Caenorhabditis elegans: one gene and its partners. The protein of the gene in region 1 interacts with the protein of each later gene in a pairwise test. Each region holds a gene or a part of one and is shown in the gene's direction. Other genes may lie near its edges. The genes, in order: gsp-1, mel-28 and knl-1.

Region 1 (9,789 bases):
ACTGTTATTTCCCATTTTAAACTCCCGAGATGTTTGTTTATGCCTTTATAATAACGATTCATTCGAAAAGAGCCAAAAATGTTAAATTAAAAATTTCTTGGAATATGGTGATTGAATATTATATAGAATTTTTATTTAAAAAACTGATACTCCTCCCACTCACGAACTCTTTTGGACAGCTGATTCAATGTTCTTCAAAAACTTGCTGAGTTTTCACTTTTTGCTCACGAATATCTAAAAATTAAGCTAAGCTAGCTGAAAATCATCAACTGATAAAAAACATACAATTACCGTACTTGTCTTTGAAGGCTTCTGTTCTATCTCGTAGTTACTGAGTCGACTCAGCGCTATTTGAAAGCAGATAGCAAATAAATAACGAATGATTCTAGCCATAGACTTTTTCGATACATATTTTCAATGTGATCTTATTAATTGCGGCTACAGTATGTTGAATAACTAAATCACATTCTGTTTTCATTACATATTTCATTAGAAGCATGTACCTAAACTTTTTTATACGAAAAATCTTAATTGCATCTGTATGCTCATATATAGTAACATTTGATTGAATCAGTCTTTATTTTCCAGCACAAGGCGTTCCTTCGAGCCCAAAGAAACGGTTTTTCTTCCCGGTCTCTGCGCCTTGTCATCTTCGTTTTTCTTCCTATTTTTCGCCCTCTCAAAAACTTGCGGTTACTTGTTTAGTCAACAACTTTTTTTGCTTCTGCTTCTGCGCGATTCAATAAATTGAATTCGAGACCCTCATCTCAACGTGAGCATCTCGTTGCCCCGTCCGTCCCTGCTTTCCTCCTCTTTTTTCATTTCCTTTCGGTCTTATTTTGCCTTCTCTCGATCTTTTTCACATGTGCTTACGTTTTCTTTCACCTCAATCAAAGCTCGAACATGATACTAAATTTTCGTGAGAAAAGTTTTTGACTAATAATTGTTTTTAGCTGTTTATTTGAAAGCGTAATTCCGAAATTTTCACAAATCTCCAAAAAAGGAGCCTAGTACGGTGGTTTTTTGTGTGCAATTGTGCGTCAACTTGTGAACAGTGTTTGCGGACTTTCAAAATAATTTTTGTCCTATTGCATTTTTTGAATGTTTTTCATCGCTTTTTTCGTTTATGAAACTGTTTATGTTACGAAATCAAGTAGTTTTATTCTTTTTTAAATAATTTTCGTTTGATATAACTATTTTCCGTAATGTCATAGAGGCTTAAGGTGATTTGAATGACTTCTTGGGGTATTTATTCCAGAATTTATTTATTTCGATTGAATAGAAAAGAAGTTGGTTTAAAATATGAATAACATGTGTTATCATTTAGTTTATATTGTTAACATTATATTAGTCATCGAAAAGTTTTACACCGCGCAATGAAAAGAAAAATAATTACGAAATTTTATGGCTCGTAAATAGTTCTTTTTGTAACATTTTGTTGGCAGAAACATACAATTTGTCATAATTTTATGCTTAATAATAAAAAATTGTTTATTAAGTGTTGTTTGAAAAAAGTCTGGAATGTCGTATATCTTTACCGCACAGGAAGTGTTTGCCTTTCTCAATCTTTTCTTTCTCGTCGTCGTTTCCTCTTTTCGAAACGTTCTGCGTGCAAATCAAATACTTGTACATCTCGTTTTGCCCATTTGTTCTAGAGAAGAGAAAGAAAGAGCACCTCAAGCTTCTCTAGCCGTTTTTTATTGTTGTTTTTTCTCACAAGAATAAGCGTTACCCTTTTCAAAAGATAACAGACTATGCGCAAAGTGTGATAAGAAAACCTTCTCGGAAGTTGTCGCCGTTTTTGATTCCATGACGTCTTACACGATGTCAGTAGTGTCGAACCAATATCGCACGTGCCACCGGAGGTAGTGCAATAACATTGCGAATTGTTTCGGCGAAAGAATGGAAACGACGGTGGCGAGTTATCGATCAATACTGCGGGCAGTGGCCGGTGGATCGGCGCGCGTTCGTCTCTCGCTCCACTCGTACACTCACACATAGGGACAGGCACATACACATGCGTCTCAGTCCGTCGTCACTTTTCGCTCCTCTTTTTATACGCGGCATTTCATCCCGATCTCCTCATTTTCCTCCACTATTGATGAACCTACTTTGCTTGACTACAGCCACACATGTTTCTCTTTGAAAGCTTCTGTTTTCTCTCTATCATATCTTCACCATTTCCTTTTTCTAGTGCTGTAAAGTTATCCGCCTGCTGTGACGACGGTGTCGTGTTTATGACATGTTCCTCCTCGGGGTCGTTGATAACGGCAAAGAGAAGGAACGGGCGTCGTCTCGTTACCGTTTTCCGATAAAACTATATAGGTGTATAACTTGAAATTGGCCAGAAAAAAAAAGAGTATTAGAGTAGCTTCGATTTGCCTCAAGGTGCATAAAGCGGTGATTCACGTTTCGAATTTGAGAGACGCAGGTGTTTAAGTGAATATGGTCTCAGTTTGCTCCCCAATTCTTTTTGTTGTCTTTTGCTACCACAGGACGAAGGAATTTCTCTTAGTACACCAACAAACTTTTTTCTTCAAGGCATCAGTTGCTCGTTTTCTATTTTCAATGTTTAGAAACAGTATAGCACAAATTTCACATAATTCAGTTTTTTTGTTTGTTTTCACGACACGCGTTTGTTGCCTTTTCAAATTCAAAATTTGCATATCGATTGTTAAAAACCATGTGTTCTTTCTTTCTCAAACATTTTAATATTGTGTCCATCACGTCATCGAGTTTCCGATTGAAACAAATCACTTTAAGGTTTTTATTCTTCAAAAATATAATCCAATCAGGAAATTTGAAAACTATATTATATTCGCATTACAATTTCTTGATAAAATTCTCATTTTTGCATTTTTCCTCTTGGAATTGTAATGATACGCATCACATCCTACTGCTGTTGTTTTTTGATGCTTTTTAAGCTTAGTCTTATCAATTTTCTCACGTTTTCCTTGAAGTTTTTTTTAAATTCTCACGCCAACGTTACTAATTTTTTATCTTTCAGCCACAACCAATATCAGTTGTCGGCCAAAAACATTGCAAGAACATACATCACTTGCCATCCATCAAAAGTGACCAACAGAAGCCGCGGAGATTGCAGCTGCAAAAACAATGTCGAACGATGGAGATTTAAACATTGACAATCTGATCACCAGACTTCTTGAAGGTGGGTTTTAAAGTTAATAGAGAAATTGATCTAATATCGACATTCGAACTAAACCAGCTGTATAGTTGTTCAGAAATTTTATTGAATTTTATTTGTTTGAAATTCCGACTAGAAATTCCAAATATTCTGGTTTTGAGGAATTTTGTTTAATATAGCAATTATCATTATTTATTATGGTTGGCAACTATTTATTTCAATAATTTCTGTCATTTTTCCACTTTCCGATTTTTACGGTCGTAAAAAATTTAATTAATATTTAAAATTTTACTAATTCTCTTTAAAGCTTATTTTAAGTGACTAATTTGATTTTTCAATAAAATTATTTTTCAGTTCGCGGATGTCGTCCAGGAAAGCCAGTTACCATGTCGGAGGCGGAGATCCGTGCTCTTTGTCATAAATCTCGTGAGATCTTCCTATCACAGCCAATTCTTCTGGAACTCGAAGCACCTCTCAAGATTTGTGGTGAGTTTTTTTATTATTCAAAAACCGTTTTTGTGTCTGCAATGTAAGAGACGACTAGAGAATATGGTCAATAGTCTTCGATTATTTATAAATTCTGTCTAAAAATTCAAAGATAGTTCAATTATTTAGTAAAAACATCACTGAACGTATGTGATTATTGGAAAAAAAGTCCGAATGTCATTGAAAAGTTTCGCAGCATACAATTTAGAATGTTAATTTCTCTAAAAGTTCAATATGAATGAGAAATATTTAATTTTAGGAGACATACATGGACAATATAACGACTTGCTCCGTTTATTCGAATACGGAGGATTCCCACCAGAGGCCAATTACTTGTTCCTCGGAGATTATGTCGATCGTGGAAAGCAGAGCTTGGAAACAATTTGCTTGTTGCTCGCATACAAAGTCAAATATCCAGAAAACTTTTTCCTTCTTCGTGGAAACCACGAATGTGCTTCAATTAACCGTATTTATGGATTCTACGATGAATGTAAGGTTTTTTTTTGCTTTAAAGAAAATTCGAAATATTAATTGAGATATTACGTGTCCATGATTTGATGAAAACTGCGGAGACGCCTGCGTCTCTCTTCTCCACACGCTCTCTCGCCATAGGCGTTTTGCATAGGCGTTAGATAGCATGCGAGAAAAAGAGACGCAGGTGCTTTTTGCGCTTAAGATATGGCGATTTTTCTCACCCGCACATGGATACGTAATAACAAATTATTCCAAAACAAAATATTCGCTTTTTTTTAAATTTTCATACGCCCGTTCACATCAAGTAGAAACTTTCTCCGGATGACAAAAAGATTCTTAATAACCATGCATCGGTTGTGTATATTTTAATTTATATTTCAACGAAAAATTCCATTAAATTCTGGGTTATTAAAATTTGTCCAGTTCAATCAGCAAATTTCGATAGTTAAAAAAGGAAAATTATGTCAATTATTTTTTCAAAATAACAGAATAATTACAATTTTCAATCAATGTAAAAATTTGGAGAACAATAGCTACTGAATTCTTTGAAAAAATCAGTATATTTTGAAGATTTTCTTATTTCTCTTTTTTTCAGATTCTTATACTCAAATTTTCATCAAATATCAAAAAAAAACGACCAGGTCCTCAAATTTTAATTTAATAATTTTTAGAAGTAAAAATTGCTGGAATTGTTATTGAAAAGTCTTTAAACCAAATAATTTTCAGGTAAGAGACGTTTTTCGATCAAATTGTGGAAAACTTTCACCGATTGCTTCAACTGTCTTCCAATTGCTGCACTCATTGATGAGAAGATCTTCTGCTGTCACGGAGGACTCTCCCCAGATCTCCAAAATATGGAACAAATTCGCCGTGTGATGCGACCAACCGATGTTCCTGATACTGGATTGTTGTGCGATTTGCTCTGGTCTGATCCAGACAAGGATGTTACCGGATGGGGAGAAAATGATAGAGGAGTCTCGTTCACATTTGGACCTGATGTCGTTGCAAAGTTTTTGAACAGACATGATTTGGATCTGATATGCAGAGCTCATCAGGTCGTCGAAGATGGATATGAGTTCTTTGCTAAGCGACAACTTGTCACACTATTCTCTGCTCCAAATTATTGTGGAGAATTCGATAACGCTGGTGGAATGATGAGCGTTGATGAGACATTAATGTGCAGTTTCCAGGTAAGAATATTTCTGTTATGTATTCGAAGGCCGAACAAGGAGAGAAGACGAGTAGTTTATTACATTACTAAACTAAGGAATAAATAAGTTAGTTCATAGAGTTCACGTTATACGATCTTCTTAGCCACGTCGTGGGTCAATACACGTTCCAACAATTTCATTCTTTTTCCAAATATTCCAGATCCCCGAAATGGAATAAATTCAAACAAGATGGAAAATCAGAAACCAATTTTCTAAATGTGTTTACAATTGATTTTTAAATTAGGGGTCGGGCATCCTTGGTCAAGAGGAACCGATTTCGAAAAATTGAAACCTCGTGAGATTGAAAATCGAATTTATGTAAAAGTTCCTGCTCTTCAAATTTAATTTTGGCTGGGAACTCATTGAACATTCGCATCACATCAAGAAATAATCTAGCATGAGATGAACCTTTTTAGAGAAAAACGGCACCGGCATATTTACAAATTCGTATTAAAATGATCGAGAAAATTAGAATGCTAGTGGCTGTGTATTTCACGTGAAAAAAACTATCAAATTCTTTAATTTTGAATATATTTCACAAAATCTCGTGAAATTTGTATCAAAAATCAATAATTTTTCGTAAATCTTAGAAATCTCAGGAACCGAAAATGAGCTGTATTAGTATTTCACCTTCCATCTTCTTTCTTTTCCATATCAAAATATGAGAGAAAAAGTACCATCAAACGGTACTTCTTTATTAAAATCCTACATTTCGGAAAAAATTTAAAATGTTTAAATATATAATGTTGATAATTGTTCAGTTAGTGACAATTTGTTCTTTTCCCGAAAAAACAATCTAACTCAAGTAGTTGCATCCCATGTTACGTCAAAACTCTTTTTCTTCCAATATCCTCTTGAACCTATCGGGAAATAATGACCAAACTGAACCATCAGTGATTATTAGATAATTTTATACTCAAAAAGCTTATAGAATTAATTTTGATCGGATAAGACTGAAATTGTTTTTTTTCAAATAAATTAGAAAAATTTGATTCATTATTTATTTTACAGATTCTGAAACCATCGGAGAAAAAAGCGAAATATCAGTATCAAGGAATGAACAGTGGACGACCAGCAGTGGGCGGAGGACGGCCTGGAACGACTGCTGGTAAGAAGTAAAGTGATGAGGAGAAAGAACATTTTTGCCTACATTTTTACTCATTTCTCTCGGATTTTTACTTTTCTGTCCGTTTTTTTTGAATTTCCCTTCTCTTTTATCTCAAACATTTTATTATTTTCTCGCCCTCAATACACCCCACCCCGCACAAAAACGAGTTTTAAATGCTCTTCATTATTATTTTCTTTTCTGATTTTCTATTTTTGTGCAACTGTACTCGATCGAATATAATTTAATTTTTCTGGCGAGTACAGATTGCAAATCTTTCTCTCTCTCCTTCTGTGTTCTCCATTTTTAGCTAAATTTTCTCATATATTTTTTTTCTGATTGCCTCTCTTTTTCCATTTGCTCTTATCCTGTTTTATTCTTAGTTGTGAGCCTAACACACCGGGATCAAAATCCTTCCGATTTAAAGTTGCAGCTTATTTATTCTTACAATGTTAATCACACAAACATTCTGAAAGTACGAGAGCGAATTCGTTCTTATTTTTTAGAATATTGAATTCTGATCCGCCCCAACAACACGCACACTGATAATTTTCTATGGTTTTTATTCGAAAATAGTGAATTTTTCTCGACAGCTCCCCCCGTTCCTTTTTCTCGCCCCCATTTCCTTCTTTCTTTCCTCCAACTGATTCCAATGAATATTTTTTCCAAAAGGTTTCTCTTGCGCAAGAACCAGTCACTCAAATTTTGTGTGTGTGTGTTTGGTCAAAGTATTTATAAAACACATACTGTCTTCAGGCAAAAAAATAATGGAAAAAGTATGAATCACATTGTTTGGAATGAGTACAAGAATAGAAATAAAATGTTCGTTGGATGGAAAAAGAATAAAGAGAAGGAATCCTGCCAAGGGAAACCAATTACTTCTGAAACATTAAATCAAGATCAGGGAAATTTAATATTTCAGAAATAACTGCAACACATAATCCTTTAAACTGGGCAATTATTTTTTAAAAATTCTATTTGGTAGTTTTCAGAATGGATTTCGTCGCCAAAATAATGTTATTTATAAACCATTCGACTCAATAATACGATACCTGGACCCGGCACGACTGTAATATTTTTTAATGATTTCTGTGAAAAGCAGTGTGCGTCTTTCAAGAGTACAGTAGTTTACACTTCTGACTGCTGCACAATGTTTTCAATTTTTCGCTTTATTTTCTTTTGAAAGTTCCTTATTTTCAGAAATTTAAAGTATGCATGTGAAAAAAACTATTTTACAGAAAAATGTGAAGGAATCTTAAGATGTGAAAAATCGAAGAAAATTGCATTCTACAGCAGAACGGAATGGACGCCACTGTAATCATTAAAGGCGCAGTCTTTTTTCTCGCAGCTTTTATTAAAACATTTTTTCGTGACGAGACCGGGTACCGTATCCCAGCGTCATTACAATTTTCACATCTGGGAATATTGTGTTGTTCTTTATTAAGGAAAAGTTAACAAAAAACACTTTTGTTGTGATTTTGCGAATTAAATGAGGTCCCGTGTGCGCCTTTAATGAATACTGTAATATCAAACTCTTGTTGCTTCGGAATTTTCATAGATTGTTCATAGTGTTTCACACGATTTTTTAACATTCATATGCTTTGTTTTTCGTTTTCTTGATTAAATTTTTCTTCAAACAATGAATGATTAATGAAAATTCCGAAGCAATAGCTTGAAATTACAGTAATTATTAAAGGCACACGCCTTTTCGCATTTAACGAACGTTTGTCGTGTCGAGACCGGGGACCTTATTTTTTAGATCGCAAAATCTTGCCGTGTAATAAAATCCTCGCATTCCAATTTCAAAATGCTCAAAGTTCTTAATATGTGTGTGGTTTGAACTCATAGTTTGCTCTACAGTGCCGTAATACGAGACGGAGCACACAGGTTAAGACGTGTTTGAGCAGCATTTCACAGTTTGTCGCAAAAACTTCGAACAGTTTTTTGCCCGTTTCGCAGACAACTTTGAGAGTTTACGAGAGTATTTCACAAGTAAATACATTATTTCCTTCAATTGTTGCCACTCGGTCTCATTGACTGTGTTTCACATTATTTGCAATTGAAAATGTTCCAGTTGTTTAAAGCTCCGCCCATTGCAGTTCGCTTAGATAGAGAAAAACAGAGAGGAATCATCAGACGACAAGATTATTGCTTTTTTGGTGGGTTTTTTCAAATGTATAATTCAGCCTATAAAAGGTAAACTTCATTTTAACCAAGATGGTTTTAAATTTTACTTTAGCTCTAGTAAACATGGTTTTTTAAATGTTATTTTTTCCTTTAGTTAAGTTGTGATTGGACGTAAATTATGAGTGATTCCATAGTTAAAACATTCAATAGGATGGGTCTCGCCGTGATAAAAATTTATGGTAGAATTTTTTACATTTATTATGCATTCTTAATTAATTTGTATTTATTACTTAAAGACTTGTTAATAGTGACAAATATCTGTAAAATTCACCAATGAATCCCGGTTTTCAAAATTTAAATTTCTAAAATCAATAGTTTTTCCTTCTCAACTCTCGAGGAAAAATTTGTCTCTAAAGCATCTAAAAACAAAATGATATCATGTATTTGCACAGGTATGCTCAATTCGTCCATGATTGAACAACAATTACCGTATCTTATGAGTTTTCCAATCCAGATACTTATTTATTTTGAGCGATATAATTTGGTCATAACTCAATCATTCCATTTGGTATTTACCAATGGATATTTGAAATACCAGTAAGCTCTCATCTCTCAACCAACCGCATTGTCTTGTCAATAGTCCACTTCTCGCTGTTCTTTTTCATTTCACCCGCCTCCACTTTACCCTCTCAATAATACGTCATTTTCCCTCATCTTTTTCACGTACATTCTCATTTGGCAGATTTTGAGAAATTAAAATAAATTTTTATCTTTTTGCATCTTTTTCTCTATTCTTTAGCCATTTTTACCTTATTCCCATTTTCTCATTAAAAAAAAACCGGTGTCAGCTGACCGGTCTGCCAACCGAATTTTTAGAAAATTCCGTCAAAATTTTTGTGTTTCTCTGACAACCGAACGAGGCAAAAAAAGAAGAGGAGATGACATCTTGTTGAAACCCGTTTGGAGTTGGAAAAAAAATTGGACGAGTAATGGGAAAAATGACCAGAAAAGACGACCGTACAAGAAGATGAAGAATTGAATTTCGAGATGAACGAAGGAAATCGTGAGATATTTTGTAGAAAAATGAAATATTCACTGGGAAATAGAAGAAAAGTATAAAATTTCAGAAAAAATTTGATTTGAATAAAATTTGATTTTAGGTTCAAAAGTCAACCCCTCCCACCTAATAAAAGTTCAATATTTGAGAATATTCATCTCTGAACAACATAGTCTTCATGGCA
Region 2 (11,473 bases), on another chromosome or scaffold:
TGACAATATCGCGGAAAAGTTGCGGAGCGAGCATCATATTCTGCTGAAAACATAATAGTTCACTAAATATATGTGTTGAAAAAGACAAAAAATAAATAAAAAATACCAAGCCGTACGAAAAACTTTTAAAATCTGGTAGCAGACTACGTTCAAAACGACAAAAATTGTAAAAAATTGTGCCGGCACATAACATAAAACTTTTGAATGTTGACTTTTAAAACTAAAAGTTACGGTCTTCGCGGCGAGATCTTGTACATAAAAAAGTCAATGTACCTTGAAACCGTATTAATTTCAAAAATATGCAACCCTGGCACGCTTTTTTTGCAATTGCGGCATGGTCTTGCTAAAAAATAGCCTTCCTCATGTGGTGTCAGAAAGTCTCATTGCAGTTTGATCTACAAAAAATGCGGGAATTTTTTCCCAGAAAAATTGTGACGTCAGAACGCTCTTAATCATGCAAAATCAGATAAGATGTCTGCGTCTCTTCTCCCGCATTTTTCGTAGATCAAAGCGAAAAGGGACTGTATGACTCCACGTGGCTTCCTTAAACCATTCTTCAGTTTCAGCAAACCGCGGCCGATATGCTCAATGATATGCACATGGCGGCCAATGGAGATCTGCTTTCCAGCTTCCCACAGGATTTCCTTGAAGACTCTGGCGATGGAGAAGTTCACGAGGCGGCCATCCTCTCCGTTTTCGATGACAATTCGAATAGCCCGCCACCGTGTCCGATCGTTGTCGACACTGTACCAGACGATGATGACAGTCTCTTGTTCCCAAGAAACTCATAAATTATTTGATCTCCGCTGTTTCTTTTTTTTTTCGAAAATCCGATTTATATAAAGTTTGAACATTATCTTTATATAATGGATAGTACAACAAAACTCTCTTTAGAAATATATATATATAAAAAATATGTTAGAAACACTGAGAAGCTCACGGTGCATCGAAAAAACCTTCAAAACGACGAAAATTCAGAAGAATAACTCATGGTGCATCGACAAATTTTCTGCATTTGCAGAAAATCCCACAAAAATGAAGAACATCGAGAACAAAACTCATGGTGCATCGACTAACAAATTTTTCGGTCAAAAAAATCTGATAAAATATGATGGCAACAGACTTCCTAGAAACACCTGAATTTCGCCCGTAAAAAAATGAGTGCGCCTTTAAGAGCTACAGTAACCCACTAAATCCACTAAATCATTAAACTGAAAGTTCCTTGATGTCGAAAGAGGAACAAAATTTGACAAAAAAAAATTTATTGTCAGAGAAAAGTAATAAAAGTGAAATTGTGTGGGGAAATAAATACGGACGGGGAGTTTGAAAAATGAATGGGACTATACGAGGTCATAAATAATACAATTGTGGGGAACGTTGAGAGGAGTTGAGAGGCGGTCGGGGGCTCAGAAGAACTTCAATCGCGTGGCTTGTCCACAGTGACGACCGCTTCCGGCGCTGCTTGTTCCGATGTCCACTCCTTCTTCTTCTTCTTAATCAAGGACGGTGGGAGCGACGTATTTTCCGGGGTGCCTGGCATTGGCGATTGCTTCTGAAAATTTGAAATTTTAGATAAAAAGATCATGAGATTTAAGCTAACCGGAGTCTGGAGCTTCTCCTTGGTTGCCTTTTCGGTGACTGGAAGCATCTGAGCTTGTTGGAGCAGTGGGACCAAGTTCGTCAAATCAGTGGACACCTTCGGGGCTTTGCGCTTCGACGATTCAGCCGCCATTGATCTTCCCTTAATCTGAAAACAAAAATCGTTGTGAGACCCAGCGTGTGCCTTTAGACTTACATGAGATCCCGGTGTGAGGAGAGCGTCGGTTTTCGGCGTTTCCTTGGTGGGTTCTGGCAGCACTGTCTTCTGTTGTGGCTCCAATTTCACAGAGAACACGTCCATCTTCATGTGCACCGGCGACGTCAATTCAAGCTTCAGCTCAAGACGGGCATCGCTGAAGATCTCCTTCGCCAAGGTCTCCGATGAGCAAACGAACGGCGGTCCATCATCAAGATATCCGTGCAGGAAAACCTTCTGCTCGGTCATTTTCTCCACATGATGTTGCACGAGCTCCAAAGCGTACCGCGCCTTTTCCTCTGTCGTCACCAGCGGCGCAGGGAGATCCAAATCATTGATGAGCGAAATGAGCTCCTTTCCACGTCCCCAATTGTCGGCGATCACTTGCAAGTGACAGCTCATTGCTTCTTCCTTTTGAGCGGTCTTGGTCCGACTCTCGTATGGTCCGTTGGTCGAGCCTGCTCCGAGGGCTGGTGTGATGGGCGGGGCCACCGCGGATCGTCGTTTCTCCATCACTTTTGTGACGTTTCCATTGGGAGTCTTGCTCTCTGCTACCACATACTGAAATTTAAAACTGCGTTTTTTCAATTCTCTTTCAATGCTAATAATTCCGTTTTTACGTCGTGGCCGCGAAATGCGAAAACTCGGCCACCTTCAAAGATCTTGGCCGAGCTCTCGCTTTTTCTAGGCCACGTTGCAAAAAAATCGATAATAAAACGTACCGGATTCGCGGCAATTCCATAAGCCAACCGCTCTCGGCGTTCCTTCTCCTCATCCTCGTGCTGCTGATCGTCTTGTTCTTCTCGCTTCCTAGCCGCCATCTGCTCAGCGATGAGCTCCTCAAAATATTTCTTCTGCTCCTGAAAAGAAGGTTTCGTATGTTGAAAGTTGTCCACGTGTAGTACGCAATTCGCTTTTCATTAAATATAACTTAAATCAATAAAAAGCTAGGCCACTGGCAAAATTTCACTTACCCTCGCCTTCTGATCCTCGAGGTAGAAATACAAAAAAATGTGGAAAATGACGAAGGCGATCAGGATGCCATATCCGATGTACTTCGGCGTGTCCTTGTGAACATTGATCGTGTATGCACATGACGGGCAGTGTGTGCCGTTTCCATTTTTGCAGGTTTGAGGGCTCGCCGAGCTCACAAGAGCAAGCTGCGTCGTATTGGCGGCAGGAGCGGTCACGTTTACATTTTTCGTCGGATTGCCGGCAGGAGCGGTCGCATTAGGACTTTTTGCCGAATTGCCGGCAGGAGCGGTCACGTTTGAAGTGTTCGTAGCGGCGGAAACAGGCACATTTGGTGTGGTGGTTGTTGGCTGAAAAATGGTGAAACATTATGGTCTAGAAAAATCGAAGGATGTCTAGGCAACTCACCAATACATGAACTATTAATCCGAAGATTACCAATGAAAACAAAATACGCAAAATACGCATTTTTGAGTGACGCGTGTGTCGGAGAGAAACCGATTTCACAAACTAATTTAAGTTATAATTTGTTTATTTCAATCGCTACGTGTGCCGTGTGCCACGTGGCCACGCGTGAGTAGGGGCGGGGCCTATTTCGCAACCACCGCACACTTTTTTCGCAAGCCTCGCACGTTTTTCCATGATATTGTTGCATTTTTCAAAAGAAAAAACGTGCGAGGCTTGCGAAAAAAGTGTGCGGTGGCTGCGAATAGGTCCCGCCCCTGCATCCTGTTTTGGGTTCCTTTTTGTTTGTTTTTTTTTCGCGGATGGTTAATTTTGTTTTCGAAGAATTTCTCGTAAAAAGTTCCTTTACAATTAGTCAAATTTTATTCACTCAATAAACAAGGTTTTTCTTCAAAAAATACAAGGTTTCGCGATGCGCCTATCATTTTATCATTTCTTGAGTAAAACAGTCTTTACGCTCGTTGCTCCAAAAAATGTATGTTTCTTAAGGGTTTCCATTAATTTTTTAGAAGTCATTTGAAAATGCTAAAAAGTTGGTTTACGTCATTTTAAGTATGTGCTTCTCTTAAGATAATGATGTAATATGGATTATATTCCAATTTAAATCATTCAAATTGATTTTTTTCATTTAAGAATTCCATTCAATTTCTACATTCTTCGTTGCGTCTTCTAACCTTTGCAAGCATTTTCCATTTTCGCTTGTTTTCGCAGTCCGTATGTTTCCGTTGCGGTGTTTGCGTATTGGTGAAAACAAATTTTCCCGGTCGTTTGAATGTAGTCGGACGAGCCCTTATTTTAAGCTACGCACTTCTAAAACCACTTATTTTAATTGATAATTTCTTTGTCTCACTTCTTTAAATGTTATTTATTAGCTGCGATGTGCAAAGGTTTATTTTTTTTCAGAATGGATAATGAAAATTCGTCCATTTTCAAATCATATCAAGGATACGAGTGTTGGAGGGGAGAAAAGCAAATTATTTTGAAGGATTCAATTGGTATTTCATATTTCTATCGATTCAACATTATTCTATTCATTCAGGTCGTCAACTTCCCTACATTGTGAATTTTAAAAAGAATACGTGTCAAATATTCGATATCGAATGGGAACGCGTAACTCACTCGTTCGTTTTCCCTGAAGGATGTGCTTTGATCGATGCGGACTATTTTCCAACAGAAGGTAAGTTTTTTATTACTATCATATTTTCTTTATTGATTTCAAAATATTTTATTTACAGAAGGAAAGCTCGGAATTCTTGTTGGTGTTGAAGATCCTCGTCAGTCGTGCGGTGCCGAGCACTTTGTTCTTGCATTGGCAGTTGATCCGGATTCACCAGCCATGACAATCACACACTCACTGGAAGTTCCATCGAAAATTACAGTTGTGAAGACGCTTTTTTCGTCTGCCGACATGGCTGATGAAACACAGAGAACAGTTTTAAAGCTCTATCATCGACTGATGACGTGGCAGCATATTGTGGCAATTGGTAATAAATCAAATTTGAATGAAAACTTTGCAAATTTACATTCCAGGTTGCAAGGAGACACAATGCTACTTAGCTCGTTTAGTTGCTGTTGAGACGCCGTCAAGTCCTGTCATCACAGTTCACAGTGAGAAAAAGTATTTGATCAACCTAATGAGTAAGTTTCCCGAAGATTAAACAAATTTGATTAGTGTGTTTCAGATGCTTACGTCAGCGGTTCAGTTCTTCAGTACACTTTGGACGATGGAGCATATCGTGAATACCCAACCGCCGCCGTGTATATCTCAGCGTTATCGTTGATGCCAAGAAGTCGAACTCTTCTTGTCGGTTTATCGATGGGAGGCATTCTGGCAGCTTCATTGAATCCTTCAAATCAGATGATGCTTTTGGAATTGAGACACGAACGACTTGTCAGAAAAATTGCTCCATTAGAACCAGAAGATGATCCCGACAAATTTGAGTATTTCATCGCCACTGTTGATTGTTCACCTCGTCATCCAATCATGATTCAACTTTGGCGTGGATCTTTCAAAACTCTCGAGGATGTTGATGGAGAAGAAAAGTACGACCGTCCATCATTCAGTGTTTGTCTAGAACATAAGATTTTGTTCGGAGAAAGATGGTTGGCTGTGAATCCTATTGTTACTGAAAGAGATCATATGATGCTCACAAGAAAGCGAGGAACGGAAGATTCGATGCACAATGTTTCTCAGACATTCGGATCAACTTCTAATCGAAACTCTGTTCTTTTGGCATACGAACGAAAGAAGATGGTGATCGGCACAGAAGACCCGAATGCTGAACCAGAATACATTGTGGAAGCAGCTATTTTTGATATAGATTCATGGTACTACAAAAGAGTTCCCGGTCGAGTATCTACAGATGGAACTGTTCTCAAGCAATGTGCATTCTTATCAACTATAAAGTCTAACATCCGATCAGAAGATGTAAATGACATCGGAATTCTTACAAATGAGGCCACTGATGTATCCAGCTTCTCTAGCATGGTTTCAGACGCAGATCAACTGTTTTATCCGTCAGCATTAAGCTTCGAAAGGGTTTTTGTTGCCAAGAATACCAGAATTGACTGGATGAAGATCCAGAACATCCAGGACACGGTAAATTTATCGGCATTGAGATTGTTTTTATTCCGGTTTTTTTTTCAGATTTTGAACAAATGCGCCGTCAAACTGCCTGCTCTCATCAGGAATCCCGAAATGATTTCCAGCGTTGTTATGGCAGCTGGTTTAGTGAGAAAAAATATTCTGTCTGGATCTCCCAATTCGGTGAGCTTATTTTTTAAAGTTAAATTGATGAAATTGTTTTCAGAGCGCCGCAGAAATAAACGAACTTCAATTATCGTCTGATCAAAAGGTTCTTCTCAACGTTATCGTCTACTACGGAAAAATTGAAGAGTTTTGTCAATTGGCATCTCGTCCTGACATTAGTGACACGCTAAAACGGGAATTAGCAGAATGGGCACTTCACGAAGCTGTTGACTACAAGAGAACTATTTCTGACAAGATGGTTTCACTCTTCCAGGGAAGATCACTTGCTCTCTCTCCACTAGCAGAAGAATCTATTGCACAGGGAATCAAGCTTTTCCGAGTTGTTTACGAATATCTGAAAGCCTGTTCAAAAGCGTTAAAAGATGATCGACTTCGCAATTTGGCCCATTCTGTGATATGTATGAGAAACCATACGAAACTTACCAGCCAATTCATCAATTTTGCCATCATTCCTGTAGACCCGATCAGACAGCAAAGAATGAAGGATTTACATTCAAAGAGAAAAAATATGGCGAGAAAGAACTCGTGAGTTTAGAAAAATCCTTTTTAAGAAAAAGTTATACGATTAAATTATTCAGATCATCTCTACCCGTTCAATCAGTCGTTCGAAAAATGAATCGTCAAGCTCCAAATGCTCAATTCTGGAACGATATTCCACATGACGAATGGTATCCGCCAACACCTCTCGATTTGCTGGAATGCCTGCTGAATGTTTCGATTTCTGAGAGTATTAAACGAGAACTCGTTGTCCAATATGTCATTGATTGGATTTCCACATCTCCTGAAGATTCTGAACACAGCGAAAAACAATTGGCACTTGAAACTATCAAAATCATGACAAATCAAATGCTTAACGTTAACTTGGAGAAAATTTATTACATTCTGGACCAAGGAAAGAAGGCTTTAACAAGCAGCAAGACATCGGATGATATGAGAGCACTTGGAGAGAAAGTATTCTCAATGAAAGATGACGAGATTAGTTATGAGAAATTGTGGGGAAAAGATGCTCCGATGACAGTGACAATCGGAAAACACGATTTACAGCGATTTGAACAACGAATGAAAATGCAAATGGAAGGTGGAAAAGTTAGATGTGAGATAGATTTTCAGTCTCATTTCCAATTAATTTTTTTTAATTTCCAGTGCCAGTTCTCGATCCGGAATCTGAGATTCTCTACCAAATGTTTCTCTTTGAAAACGAAAAGTTTGAAGCAATGTCATCAGAAGCGATTAGTTCCAACAAATTGCTATCGGCTTTCCTGCCAGGAATGATCAAGAAGGATGGAAGAGGTCGTCAGAAGACTGCGAAAGAACAGGAAATCGAAATTTCAGTTAAGAAAATGTTTGAGAGAAAGGTGCAAAACGACGACGAAGATATGCCTGAAGTTTTCGCTTCTGTCAATGACAAAACAGAAAGAAAGCGGAAATCAAGTCAGTTTGGTGAAGACGATGAGAGTAGTGTTTCGTCATCACAATATGTGCCACCTGTAAGATTATTGCAGTTAAATAGTACAAACCAAGATTCTGAAATTTACAGACCGCGAAGAGAATTCAACAGTGGAAGAGTGCCGTCGAATCTGTTGCCAACAATTCGAGTATCAACAGTATCACAAGTCCGGATTCTCACCAAAATGCAGAAATCAATATGATGATTGCAACACCGGCACGGTATTACAAGCGACATAATGAGGAGGAAAATGTTCAAGATGGATTTCTATCGCCCGCTGGAAACAGACCGCCGCCAGTCTCTGCTCACAACAGTATTCTGAAAACAGCTAAAGGTGGCCAATCGGCTAGTCGAGGCCGTATCCGATTCCGTGCTGACGTTCCAAGAGGTGCTGACGAGAGTATTGAAGACAATGGTCGGAAAGGCCTTGCATTGAACTTTGCAATTCTTGAAGATGAAGAAGAGGAAACCATGACTATTAGAAAATCACGGTCTATGGGAAAACATGACGAGGAGAAGGATTCAGAGAAAAATGTAGTGGATGAGATGGAAGAAGTAAAAGATCAAGAACAAGAAAACGATGAATGCATTGAAAGTGAGAAAACTTTCGAAAACCAAGACGATTTCGAGGTTCTCGAAGATACATCTGCTCCAGAAGCTGCAAATACAGAAAATGGTTCGGAAACTCCTCCCATGGAAGATACGTTTGAAGTACGAGATGATGACGTCATGCCACCAACCGATGAGACATATTTGAGTCATTTACAAACCGATAAAACGGGTATTCTTGAGGAGGAAGGTGAAGATGAAGATATATGGGATGGAGTTCAAAGATCTTTCGAGGTTCAAATGGATGAGGATTGTGAAGCTGTACCAACGATTGATGTAGCCGATGATTTGGAGAGTAAATCTGAAGAAGTGAATGAAGAAGAGGTAGTTGAATCTGAAGAAGTTCAGCAAGATGCGAAAGAACCTGAAAAAACTGAAAAACGACAGGAAGAGCCAGAACCTGAAGTTATGCAGCCAGTGATTCCGGAAGAGCCTCAAAACGAATCTCTCGAATCGTCTATTAAACTGCAGGAAGAGTTACAGGAAGAGCCTGACATAGTTCCGACAGGTGATGAAGATACCGCGGATAAAGTTCAAGAACAAGCTGTTGAGGAAGATAGACCACCATCTGTAAGATACCATAAAATAAAATTTGAGGAAAAACGGCAATAATTGTATATTTCAGAGAAACACTCGCTCATCATCTGTCCAGAAGTCTACTTCACAAGTGGAAGACCGGGATCCGAAAGAACTTGTCGAGGAAGAAAGACCTCCATCTGTCAGTTTCGTCATCAATTTGACAGACAGAAATAAAATTTATGTTTTCAGAGAAACACTCGTTCTGCGTCTGTTCAAAAATCATCTAACCAAGAGAAAACTTCGGAATCAGGAGAAGTCACGGAAGAAGATAGACCACCATCCGTGAGTTGTTTTTAAAATTTGAAATTTATATGTGTATTTTTCTAGAGAAATACGCGGTCGGCATCTGTTCAAAAATCTTCATCAAAGGTAAAAGACCAGAAGCCAGAGGAACTCATCGAGGAAGATAGACCTCCATCAGTAAGTCTCTCGTGATTTCTTTAAAAATTTAGTTCAATATTTCCAGAGAAATACTCGATCCGCATCAGCCCAGAAGACAGTGGCAGCAAATAAATCTGTTTTGGAGTCTGAAATTCCAAGTCGTTCAGCGTCACGAAGAACTCGCTCCACATCGCTTAGGAATGATACTGTTGCCGAACCAGATGAGACGTCGGTTGCGATGACAACTCGGCGTCGGACTCGGGCAACTTCTGAGGTTGTTAGCAAGCAGTCGTCTGAAGATGATGGAAGATCGACACCAAAAACCGGAAGAACTCCCACGAAAAAGGCTGCAGCTAGTACATCTTCTAGTAGAGCTGGAAGTGTAACTGTACGTTGTTTAATCGTTTAATCATACAACTATTCGAACATTTTCAGCGCGGTAAAAAATCGATCATCCAAAAGATGCCATCCCCGCTAGAGGTTACAATGGAAGTTCAAGAAGAAGAAGAAGAAGAAGCGGAGGAGGAACGGCCTGCATCAAGAAGCACTCGCTCTGCATCTGTCAAAAATACAACTGTTGACCCATCGTCATCTGCACTTGCTTCTACCAAACGTACAACTTCTAGAAAGAGGGGCAATTCGGAAACGATCGACTTTAATCAGGACGACAAATCGGCACCGACGACGCCAAAAAGAGGAAGACCCGCCAAAAAGGATGCAGGATCTCCTAAAGTTGGAAGTAAAGCTGTAAGCATTTTTAATTATTTTTTTGAATTAAAAATGTTGTATTCATAAATTGTAAATTGATTTGTTTTCGTTTCAGCGTGGCACCAAGCCTAAATCGATATTCGAAAATCAAGAAGATGAAGAAGATCGTTCATCCTCTCCAGATATCGAACAACCAGCCACACCTACACGGTCTTCCAAACGAACGGCTAGATCCAGAGCAAATTCCGAATCGATCGATGATGATAGCAAGCAGAAGACCCCAAAAAAGAAAAATGCCGCGGTTAATGAAGCTGGTACCAGTAAACAGTCTAGAAGTGTGACGGTATGATCCCAAAACATAATTTTTTTTCAAAATTATTATTTTCAGAGATCTCGAGCATCATCTATTGATGTACAACAAGAGGTGGAAGAGCCAACCACTCCAAAACGCGGAAGAGGAAGACCGCCCAAAACCGTTCTGGAAAATATTGAAGAGGGTGAAGAAGAGAGAAAAGAAACGGCTGCGGTAATATTTTCAGCAATACGATTTCTCAAACGAGGTGTTTTATTTTCAGACTCCTCTACTGCGTTCAGCTCGCCGTGCTAAACAATAGAGGTCGAACACAGCTCAAATTTTAACTATTTGTCCTTATTTATTTTATTATTTGAAATTCTTCAACTGACACATGTGAAATAAGTTCCAATAAAATTGTTTGGCATTAACATTGAATTGGAAATAAAGCAATAAAGGTGCATAGAACGGAGAGTTCAGGATGGCGTTATAGTTTTTAAATTTCAAGCAACAAATTCGATAATTTAATTTTAACTGGAAAATGTGAACGATTGTTCCTAGCATGCGAAACAGGTGTTTATACCACATTTAAAAAATTTCCAAAACGAAGCTCTGCAGAATTTTTTCTAATTTCTCGTGGTAATGATGAATTATTATTTAATTTTGTTTTTTAATGCACCAATAAAACGTTTTTTCGTGTAGAAAAAAGACGGCATTGTTAAATATATTCTTCACTGCAAAAATCCAATTTTATAAAAACTAATTTAAATCTTTCGAAAGGTTACTGTAACAGTCATTTGCGTGTGCATTTCTACGCAATATGTGGCGCCAAAAGGCTTGTCCTAAAATTCGGCTACCCATTCTAAATAAAATGATTCTTCGCAGTTGTTCTCTGTTAACAGCTTGTTTTTTTTATGTTTTGATGATATTTTCATGTTAAAATAATAATTTTAACGTTGTTCATAGACGTTAGCATGTAAGGACGATCTTGACGTATTGTAAACATCTGTAAAATTAGTTATCCGTGCATCAGACTGGGTCTGAGTCTTTTTTACAATTTACTGTAACATTTTTGTATCTTTTTCACGTTAATACTTGATCAAATTGTAAAATGTTCTCTCAGAAGTGACATTCACTTGGCAAATGACGGAAGCTGACGATCCCAAGAAGAAAATACGCGCGCGCATCGAGCGCGACGTGTACAGTGTTCTGCTATCATTCCAGGAAGGAGCGACCCCAAATCAAGTAGAAAGGAGAATGGAGTTTGTGTTTCGCGGCATTATTTCTCAAATTTAATGTATTAACTATTTAGCGACACGCTTGGCTACACATATGTTGGAAAATATGTACAGGCTGGTGTGAGAGATATGGCTCAACTTCTGCGAGAGCACAAAGATGTACGACAAAATTTATCCGGAGTTTTCAGTGTTGTGTGAGAAATATATATTGCTCTTA
Region 3 (8,906 bases), on another chromosome or scaffold:
GACCCGAAGACGGTATCATTCTCCGTGGTGGAGCCACTATCGAACATTGTTGCCACGCCCTTCATCGTTCAATTGCTGCTCAACTCCGGTATGCCATCGTCTGGGGAACATCGACGAAATTCTCTCCGCAACGTGTCGGTCTTCATCATAAACTCGACCATGAAGATGTGATTCAGATTGTGAAGAAATAATTTTGTTACTACTGTTTAGTTTTTTAATTATTGTCTTCATAATTATTGCAAATTTCCGTTCTTTTTTTCTTGTTGATTTTTCCCAGCTGGCACCATGCGGTGATAAATTTTTATGTGTTTCATTCAACAGTTCATTCGTAATTTTCGGTTTTTTCCTTAAAAAATATTTGTTTTAAAGATATTATCCGAATTAAACTTTACAAAAATATCCAGATGAGAAGATTACCCTGGCTGATCCCATTCTTTCTCGTAAATATTTCAAACGGAAACAACGAATTTCGAATAGAATTTGAAGTAAGCTGAGCAGTTTAATTTTGATTGTGATTTCCCAATTGCAGTATCCAAATAATGAAAAGTCGGAAAAATGCTTTGATTCATCAAAGGAAAATGACTTATTAGATCTTTTCTATGTATCAACAAATCCACTTGGACCTGTCGTCGAATGTCGTTTTCTTGAGAATTCCTTCATTTTATGTGAGGATCCAGTTCCACTCTACGGCCCTGGACAAACGGGACAGCAACCAGCAAATGAGAGTTTTCGAAATGAAGGAAAATGTCTGAAAATGGGTGGATACAGAGCAGAGGACGTTGAGTTCACGAATGTCAAGTGCCGAGTTCTTCCGTGTATTGAATGTCATGGACCAAGAACGTTTACAAAGTCAACACCTTGTATAATGTAAGCTTTTTTTGAAGCGAAACTCAACATTTTATTTTGATTGAAATATAAATAGCTATTAAAACCTGAGTTTCAAAAAAATTCTGGTCACACTGGTCTCGGCACGACAATTTTAGTTAAATGCAAAACGGCGTGCGCCTTTAAAAAGTACTGTAATTTCAAACTATATTTACTGCCGCAAATTTCGCTGCGGAATGTTCACAGTTTTTACGGAGTTTTACTATAAAATTTATGTGAAAGACTAATTATTTATTTTTGAAAACACTTAAATTTTCACAAATCGAAAGAAAATTTTTTTGTTAAAATTAAAGTGTTTTCATGTTATACATGCAAATAAATAAATAAATAAATTTTATTAAATCAGTTTTCACCAAAAATATTTAAAAAATCGATGAAAGTTCCACATCGACGAAATTTTGAAATTACAGTACTCTTTAAATTCGCATTTAACAAAAAAGGCGTGTCGAGACGTGGTACAGTACTCTTGCCGCAAAAGTCGCAAAATTTCGCGTCCGGGGTTTATTTTAAAAAAATTATTTAAAACTGACACAATAAAGATGCTCCTACGAAGAGATTATATGATTTTTGAAGTATATTCAGAAAAAATATAAATTTCATATTTTCAGATACAATGGTCACTACTTTCTCACAACTCTTCTGTATTCCATTTTTCTCGGTGTGGTTGCTGTCGACCGTTTTTGCCTGGGATATTCTGCAATGGCTGTCGGAAAACTAATGACTTTGGGTGGATTTGGAATCTGGTGGATTGTCGATATATTCTTACTGGTACTTGGAGTACTCGGACCCGCGGATGACTCGAGTTGGGAGCCGTACTATTAAAAGAAATTAACTAATACGAGTGGAAAATTAATTGTTTATTGGTCAATATTTACAACCGATCTCATATTGTCAAATCCAATCATTGCGGCAATTGTGTGCTAACTGTCACCTGTAAAATTTGTAATTTCCTTTGTCATTTACTTTATAAAGAAAAATACCTTAATCTTCGAAAGATCACGTCCGTCAATTATCTCACTGAAAATACGACTCATCATTTGAGCCAGCTTATCTGGCCGTTCGTCAATGATTGGAATGACAGGAGGCATTGCTGCTCTGAACTTTTTGATTTTTTCAATGGTTTCTTTGGAACGATAAGGACCACTGAACACGGATACCTTGTTCTGAAATTGGATGATTAGAAGGATTTACTACAAATTTGAATATTTACTGGAGCATTTTTGACGTTCAGAAGTTCAGCTGAGAACGGTTCATCACTGGCATCCCACTCTCCTTCAGTGCATTCTGGCAGCTGTTCGCCCTTATCTGGAAATTAAACTTTGTATTGTCCAGATGCGAAAACTGTAAAATAGCTTGGAGTTGGGTTACTGTAGTCCTTAAAGCCATACGCCTGTTTTCTAACTAAAAACGCTGCCTAAAAATATTTCGGTCGTGTCGAGACCGGGCACCGTACTTCTCAGCGTAAACTAACAAAATTTCGCATCTGTGTAATATTGAAATTTCATCCTTACCATCATCAGTAATTTGAATCTTCGGCAACTGTCGAATAGATTGCTGAACACTTGGTGCTGGTAGTTCCTCTTCTTTTTCGTCTTTTTTATCTTCTTTCTTTTCTTCTTTGCTTGGTTGCTGCTCTGCCATTTTTTGCCTCTTGATTTTGATTTTATCGTTTTGAAGAATAAAATTATTTCCTTTTCAAAAGATGTTTTTTCTTAATTAAAAGATTTCGAAAAAAAAATGCAATACACGTAATTTTGAGTTTTCACTTATGGAAATGTATTTTACAAATCATTTTCAAATACAAGATGGACAACAAAAAGAAGGAAGAAAATCCTAGTAAATCTGATACTTCTATAAGCCGTGAGTAATATATATAACTTTTCGGTTTTTTTTTTAATAAAAAGTTTTAGTTCCACCAAGCTCAACTGGAGAAGCGCTTCAAAATTATACAGAATCGGAATGGAACGCATCAGATGATCCGTATTCTGCAGAACTTCTCAATGTGAAAAAGAAGCCGGTAATTTTTATTTTTACGTAGATTTTCATTAAAACTTTTCCAGAATCGAGTTAATGTGTTCTCAGCAACTGAGAAGAACATGGAAACTATAATTGTCACTGAAGAATCTCCACCACAAACTCCATTGCCTTTAAGTTGAGAAATCACAAAATTCTGGGAACTTAATTTGTATTGGTTTAGAGCCTGTCGTAGAACACCACAATTTGGCTCGATTGATTCAGAAATCATGTCAATTGCTCTTGGATAAAACTACACCAGATGGAACAGAAGTGCAAATAAAATTAGAATTCCCTGACTGGAGAGATACCGCCTGATTCTCTATGTGTTGAATAAAGCTTAACGGTTAAAAAAAAATTAATTGAAATCTGCCTGAAAAAATATCTAAATACAGTACTCACAAGAGAAACTACGGATTTTGAGAATTCGAATTTCGTAGAAAATATTTTTGCAATGTGTATCAGCTGTAATGGTACATATATTTATTTATTAATATTGAATTTTATCTAATTTTTGAAACAATTGGTTTTTTAAACTATTAAAATTGTATTATACTGCCCCAAGTTAAGGAATTACTCGTAGTGTGCGTTCTACGGAACCGGTGGTGTGTCGAGTGCAGCTTCGCTCCATTGTACAAGTTCAATTTCAAACAGAGATTTGCCGCCAAGCAAAACTGCCTTCGTTTACTTTTCACTTTTTTACTTTTCCCATTTAACGAAGTTTATGCTGCCGTTGTTTTGTTATTTTTTTAATCATAATTTATTACCATTTTTAAAACATATTTACAGCCATGTCGATGGAGCCTCGTAAGAAGCGGAACTCGATTCTCAAGGTGCGGCAAGCCGTCGAAACCATCGAGGAAACCGTCATGAACAGTGGGCCTAGTTCCACAACAACTAATCGACGAGTCAGCTTTCATAACGTGAAGCATGTCAAGTCAGTTAGAGTCAGTGAATAATTTATCAATAAAATAATTATTTCAGGCAGTATGACAGGGACCATGGTAAAATTCTTGACGCCACACCAGTTAAGGAGAAGATTACTGACACTATTGGATCAGATGGTATTTTGACGTGAGTTCCATCCTTTAACGTGAAATAATGAATACGTAAAAATCTTTTTAAGACCACGTGGCGGAAACATGGATATTTCCGAATCTCCGGCCTGCACGTCCTCATTTCAAGTGTTCGGCGGTGGTAATCTCGATAAAACTATGGATATGTCTCTCGAAACAACTATCAACGAGAACAACGAAACGGCGAGATTGTTTGAAACCACAAGAGATCCAACACTATTATACGAAAAGATCGTCGAAACCACAACAAAAGTTACCGAGCGAATTGTTAGTATGCCACTGGATGATACCTTAGCAATGTTCAATACAACGAATCAAGAAGATAAGGATATGTCAGTTGATCGTTCAGTTCTTTTCACGATTCCCAAAGTTCCGAAGCATAACGCTACAATGAATAGAACTATACCGATGGACCTCGATGAATCAAAAGCAGCGGGCGGCCAGTGCGATGAAACGGTATGTTGAATTAATAGAAGGAACCAAATTATCTTAATTTTACAGATGAATGTGTTCAATTTCACAAACTTGGAAGCCGCTGAAATGGATACGAGTAAATTAGATGAAAATAATACCATGAATGCTATCCGGATTCCGATTAATTCAAACGTCATGCCTGTAGACATGGACATCACTGAACATCACACTTTAATTGAAGAAAAGAAAAATGATACATTCGGGCCAAGTCAACTGATGGACATTTCGGCGCCACAAGTTCAAGTTAATGATACTTTGGCCATTTTCAACAGTCCGAGAGACATCTGTAATAAGGGTTTGGGTGTTCCTCAGAATCTAATAAATATCGCCTCGAACGTCGTACCTGTGGACATGGACATCACTGATCAGGCCGTATTAAACGCGGAGAAGAAAAATGATCAATTCGAGACAAGTCAGCTTATGGACATTTCTATTCCGAAAGTTCTAGTAAATGACACTATGGCGATGTTCAACAGCCCGAAACACGTCAGTAAGAGCAGCATGGATCTCGAGAAAACGATTGAAGCCGCTGACAAATCAACGAAATACCCGAGTATCGCAGATGAGGTGGAAGATTTAGACATGGATATGGATATCACTGAACAACAACCATGTGAGGCTGGTAATCAGCAGAACGACGGCTTGCAACTTCAAAAGGAGGATTTAATGGACATTTCGGTGATTCGAGATTCACCTGCAGTAAACGACACCATGGCTGTGTTCCAGAGTCCTGCCAGAGTAAAGATCGGAGCGGTAAGTTTTAAGCACACTTTCCAATAAAAATGTATTTCTTTCAGAACAACTCGATCATTGATTCGCAGAAATCTATCGTGTTCGGTGACGAAATGAGCATTGACGAGACACAAAATGATGGAACCTTGACGTTGCCAAAGTCGAATGTAGAAGTGACTACAACTAATGATGTCTACACGTCTCTCGAGCGGCAAGAGGAAAATGCTTCAGAAAACGTATCCATGATAAACGAATCTTCTGTTCATTCGGAAATCGACAAAAAGTCGTTTATGCTCATCGAAGAAGAAAGGGCTTTTATGCACTCCTCCATGATTGATGTAGCACAAAAGTTGGAAGACGATGGTTCGTCGAAGACGCCAGTCATCCTTGCTTCACAGTCAGCTTCTCTTGCCACTAAAGAACCATCAGCCCTTCACAACTCGAGTGCAACTCTCAACAATTCGATGGAATTGGACAACAATACTCTTCTTAAAACTATGCAAATTACAACGTGTGAAGACATTAGCATGGTCCATGAGTCTATTGCTGTTGAACTGAACAGTAACAAAGAGCAGGAGCAATTCGGAGATGAGACTTTGCAGAAAAATGGTAAATTTCGTTTATTCAATAACTCTATTAAAAGTATGTTTTAGATACCTCGAATACTGGCGCGAATTTCACATTCCAAGGCCATAATGAAACATCGCAAATCATGAACAATGTCGACTCGGAAGCAGTGAACACGTCCAAGATTTCAACATATTCGGCTTTCAATTTGAGCATCAACCAGTCTATCTCTAAACGACGTCGATCTCTTCTGAATTCTGCTCGTGAATCTCCTCGTCGTGTTGCGTTGGAGAATTCTATAATGTCGATGAATGGGCAAACAATGGAAGCTCTGACAGAATATCGACAGAATAAAACTATGCAGACGAGTCAAGATTCGATGCCGAGTATGAGTTTGAACGATTCGGGAAGAGATATTCTCGCGATGGTAAGAATATCTCTTTGAGTATTGAATCGAAAATGTCTTTCAGAATACATCAGTCCGCTCTCCTCATCTGAATTCTTCAAAAACTGCTGCCCCAGGAACACCATCATTGATGTCACAAAATGTACAACTTCCACCTCCATCTCCTCAATTCGAAATGCCAGACTTCGATCCAGCTGTGGTCAACGTTGTATATTTAACATCTGAAGATCCGTCCACTGAACAACATCCAGAAGCTCTCAAATTTCAGCGTATTGTTGAAAACGAGAAAATGAAAGTACAACACGAGATTGATTCTCTGAATTCAACCAATCAACTTTCTGCTGAGAAAATTGATATGTTGAAGACTAAGGAGCTCTTGAAGTTTAGTCATGATGAGCGAGAAGCGATTATGATTGCAAGAAAAGACGCGGAAATCAAGTTTTTGGAGCTTCGTCTGAAATTTGCACTCGAGAAAAAAATTGAAAGTGACCAGGAAATTGCTGAACTAGAACAAGGAAATTCGAAAATGGCTGAGCAGCTAAGAGGTCTCGATAAGATGGCTGTCGTTCAAAAAGAACTAGAAAAGCTGAGAAGTCTTCCTCCATCACGCGAAGAGAGCGGGAAAATCCGAAAGGAGTGGATGGAGATGAAGCAATGGGAATTCGACCAGAAAATGAAAGCACTCCGAAATGTACGCTCAAACATGATTGCACTTCGTTCAGAGAAAAATGCTCTCGAAATGAAAGTCGCGGAAGAACACGAGAAGTTTGCCCAGAGGAACGATTTGAAGAAAAGTCGAATGCTGGTGTTCTCTAAGGCTGTTAAGAAAATTGTGAACTTCTAGTGAGTTTAATATCGAAAAATTAACAGTCAAAAATTATAATTTTAGATGCCGCCTTCACCCTTCCCTTGCATCAGGCCTACAATACTTCTGATGCTCATATAATTCTTTACCTAATGTGCCATATATTTTAGTTTTTTTTTCATCTAAAAATACCCATTGTGCATCAACCGCACTTGCTGTATTTCCTTCAAGATGTTTACCTTTTCCCCTATACATTTATGCCTCAGAGCAATCACAAAGTTATGTTTTTATTCCTAGTTCATTCTCAATCAATCTAAAGGAGACTTATGGTTTGAATAGTCAAATGAATAAATATTCCTTGTAACCAAATTTTTTTGTAGCCGTGTTTTTTTTTGTAAAATGAAGTTATTGTGCGTTTAAAAATCGGAGTTTAAAAAATCGGAGCTTCAGTCTCCTCTCTTAAAAATAATTTTAGCTTACTATTTACTACTGTAGTTCCAAATAGAATATACATAATAAGGCGGGTAGGCAAGAGTTTGACACCTCGGGAGGTACATAGGTACGTAGGTGAGCAGTAAGTATACAAATTTTTTAAAGTTTTACTTTGATTTTTTTAAGTTTTACTTTGATTTTTTTAAGTTTTACTTTGATTTTTTTAAGTTTTACTTTGATTTTTTTAAGTTTTACTTTGATTTTTTAAAGTTTTACTTCTTCTCAGTTTTTAATTTTTATGTGGAGGCTTTGAAAAACAAAAATAAAAATTTGCAAGGGCTATTGAATTTGCCAGAAAAAAATGAAAACTCCAAAAAGTGGGCGTGGCCTGATCAGCCATTTGAATTGTCTTGTTGTAAAATTGAGAAAAAATAATATTTTTATAACATTTTGTACAGTTATATTTGGTCATTACGACCTAGTTGTTCCACTGTTAAGAAGAATCTAACATATAGCGCGAGCTTTCTAAATCAACCTAATAATGAAAATCAGAAAATAATTTTTTATGCACTTGAAAACTTCACAAAAAGCTAAAATTCTTAGAGAAGTTCTGAATATGATCATTTATCATGTTTGAAATGGAGCACTTGTTGCTCTTTTTGTCATGCTTGTCCATGTTGGTTTCTATTGCATTCCAAAGTGTGCTTCTTCCTCTTATTCTACATCTCTTCTCTTTTTTTCTTCTTTCTTTTCTTTCTTTCCTCCACTTTCGTTCTTTCTCTGCCAACAATTTCAAACACCACTCCCTTTTTCTCGTTCCCAAAAGAAGGTCCTTCTCCATTTCAGTTTTACCAGCAGCTGCTCCGTCGAGTCCCTCATCTAACTCGTTTCTTTTTCCCTCTTTGTCCCATTACTTTTACTCATTACGGGACACGACTATGGTGAAATTAACTGAATCGGCTGTATATATTCGTACAAAATGTTCACTAGAGAATGTGAAAAAGCTAAATTTATGGTAGGTTGAAAATTTGAATTTTTAACTCAAAGCAATAATTCCAAAAAAAAAAAAGAAAATTAGTATTCTGTTTCAGGGGGTGCGGAATCGATGACATTCAAGTATGTGAGAAAATGAGCCTTCTGGAAGTTTTATCATTGAGGTAGGTTGTGTCTCATATTATGATTTTCAAAAGCTTTTTGAAAATCTAGATTATTAGTTAGATGTTCCTTTTATAGATGGGGAACAGTAAGTGAGGATTTAGTTTAAAAGCACTTATGAAGGCAAACATGGCTGAATATCACAACAAATTTTTTGAATTAAAAAAAATCAGTCATAGTTTTGGTGAATTGCAAAATGTATCTAAAACCAGGAAAACTTTCTGGAATCTTTTTGTTATGCTTTGAAAAATCTGAAAATCATTTCACCAATATACTCCTTTCTGGAGGATTTCTTTGTGGGAATCTTTTTAAAGTTCCTATGATCATTTTAATAAAATAGTCTTCATTTAAAAGTTCCAAA

Evidence for each region.
Region 2: the proteins of gsp-1 (region 1) and mel-28 interact in a two-hybrid assay, tested with the Caenorhabditis elegans proteins (one study listed by BioGRID).
Region 3: the proteins of gsp-1 (region 1) and knl-1 interact in a two-hybrid assay, tested with the Caenorhabditis elegans proteins (2 studies listed by BioGRID).

The regions. Positions count from the first base shown.
Region 1 is NC_003283.11:10,679,415-10,689,203, forward strand, and holds gsp-1 (Serine/threonine-protein phosphatase PP1-alpha), read left to right. Parts: upstream 1-3,007; 5' UTR 3,008-3,114; coding exon 3,115-3,169; intron 3,170-3,499; coding exon 3,500-3,631; intron 3,632-3,890; coding exon 3,891-4,121; intron 4,122-4,831; coding exon 4,832-5,295; intron 5,296-6,327; coding exon 6,328-6,435; 3' UTR 6,436-7,091; downstream 7,092-9,789. Other genes in the region: F29F11.20 (uncharacterized protein), read left to right, coding at 8,487-8,580, 9,001-9,149. UniProt on the Caenorhabditis elegans protein: Serine/threonine-protein phosphatase which antagonizes the function of air-2 in the regulation of chromosome cohesion. Dephosphorylates histone H3 at 'Ser-10'. Dephosphorylates translation initiation factor eIF2alpha.
Region 2 is NC_003281.10:4,781,945-4,793,417, forward strand, and holds mel-28 (Protein mel-28), read left to right. Parts: upstream 1-4,135; 5' UTR 4,136-4,136; coding exon 4,137-4,227; intron 4,228-4,271; coding exon 4,272-4,409; intron 4,410-4,467; coding exon 4,468-4,716; intron 4,717-4,762; coding exon 4,763-4,870; intron 4,871-4,914; coding exon 4,915-5,831; intron 5,832-5,879; coding exon 5,880-5,999; intron 6,000-6,042; coding exon 6,043-6,527; intron 6,528-6,580; coding exon 6,581-7,095; intron 7,096-7,145; coding exon 7,146-7,489; intron 7,490-7,539; coding exon 7,540-8,628; intron 8,629-8,683; coding exon 8,684-8,776; intron 8,777-8,826; coding exon 8,827-8,919; intron 8,920-8,964; coding exon 8,965-9,057; intron 9,058-9,103; coding exon 9,104-9,406; intron 9,407-9,453; coding exon 9,454-9,765; intron 9,766-9,841; coding exon 9,842-10,069; intron 10,070-10,114; coding exon 10,115-10,252; intron 10,253-10,301; coding exon 10,302-10,340; 3' UTR 10,341-10,447; downstream 10,448-11,473. Other genes in the region: gex-5 (RING-type domain-containing protein), read right to left, coding at 1-37; C38D4.10 (WRKY transcription factor 14), read left to right, coding at 582-791; enu-3.2 (ENhancer of Uncoordination), read right to left, coding at 1,418-1,552, 1,601-1,747, 1,796-2,356, 2,518-2,655, 2,770-3,117, 3,176-3,235; mip-1 (HTH OST-type domain-containing protein), read left to right, coding at 11,162-11,280, 11,331-11,450. UniProt on the Caenorhabditis elegans protein: Nuclear envelope protein which has essential roles in assembly of nuclear pore complexes and in chromatin maintenance during the cell cycle. Appears to be a stable structural component of the nuclear envelope during interphase.
Region 3 is NC_003281.10:8,246,947-8,255,852, forward strand, and holds knl-1 (Outer kinetochore KNL1 complex subunit knl-1), read left to right. Parts: upstream 1-3,685; 5' UTR 3,686-3,689; coding exon 3,690-3,835; intron 3,836-3,882; coding exon 3,883-3,972; intron 3,973-4,024; coding exon 4,025-4,430; intron 4,431-4,475; coding exon 4,476-5,201; intron 5,202-5,245; coding exon 5,246-5,789; intron 5,790-5,833; coding exon 5,834-6,174; intron 6,175-6,217; coding exon 6,218-6,997; downstream 6,998-8,906. Other genes in the region: putative GTP-binding protein C02F5.3, read left to right, coding at 1-191; TM2 domain-containing protein C02F5.13, read left to right, coding at 405-485, 530-867, 1,494-1,707; C02F5.10 (uncharacterized protein), read right to left, coding at 1,787-1,816, 1,866-2,048, 2,096-2,190, 2,397-2,526; C02F5.2 (DUF5356 domain-containing protein), read left to right, coding at 2,691-2,745, 2,796-2,902, 2,946-3,036, 3,083-3,216; F09G8.5 (leucine-rich repeat domain-containing protein), read left to right, coding at 8,029-8,405, 8,482-8,547. UniProt on the Caenorhabditis elegans protein: Acts as a component of the outer kinetochore KNL1 complex that serves as a docking point for spindle assembly checkpoint components and mediates microtubule-kinetochore interactions.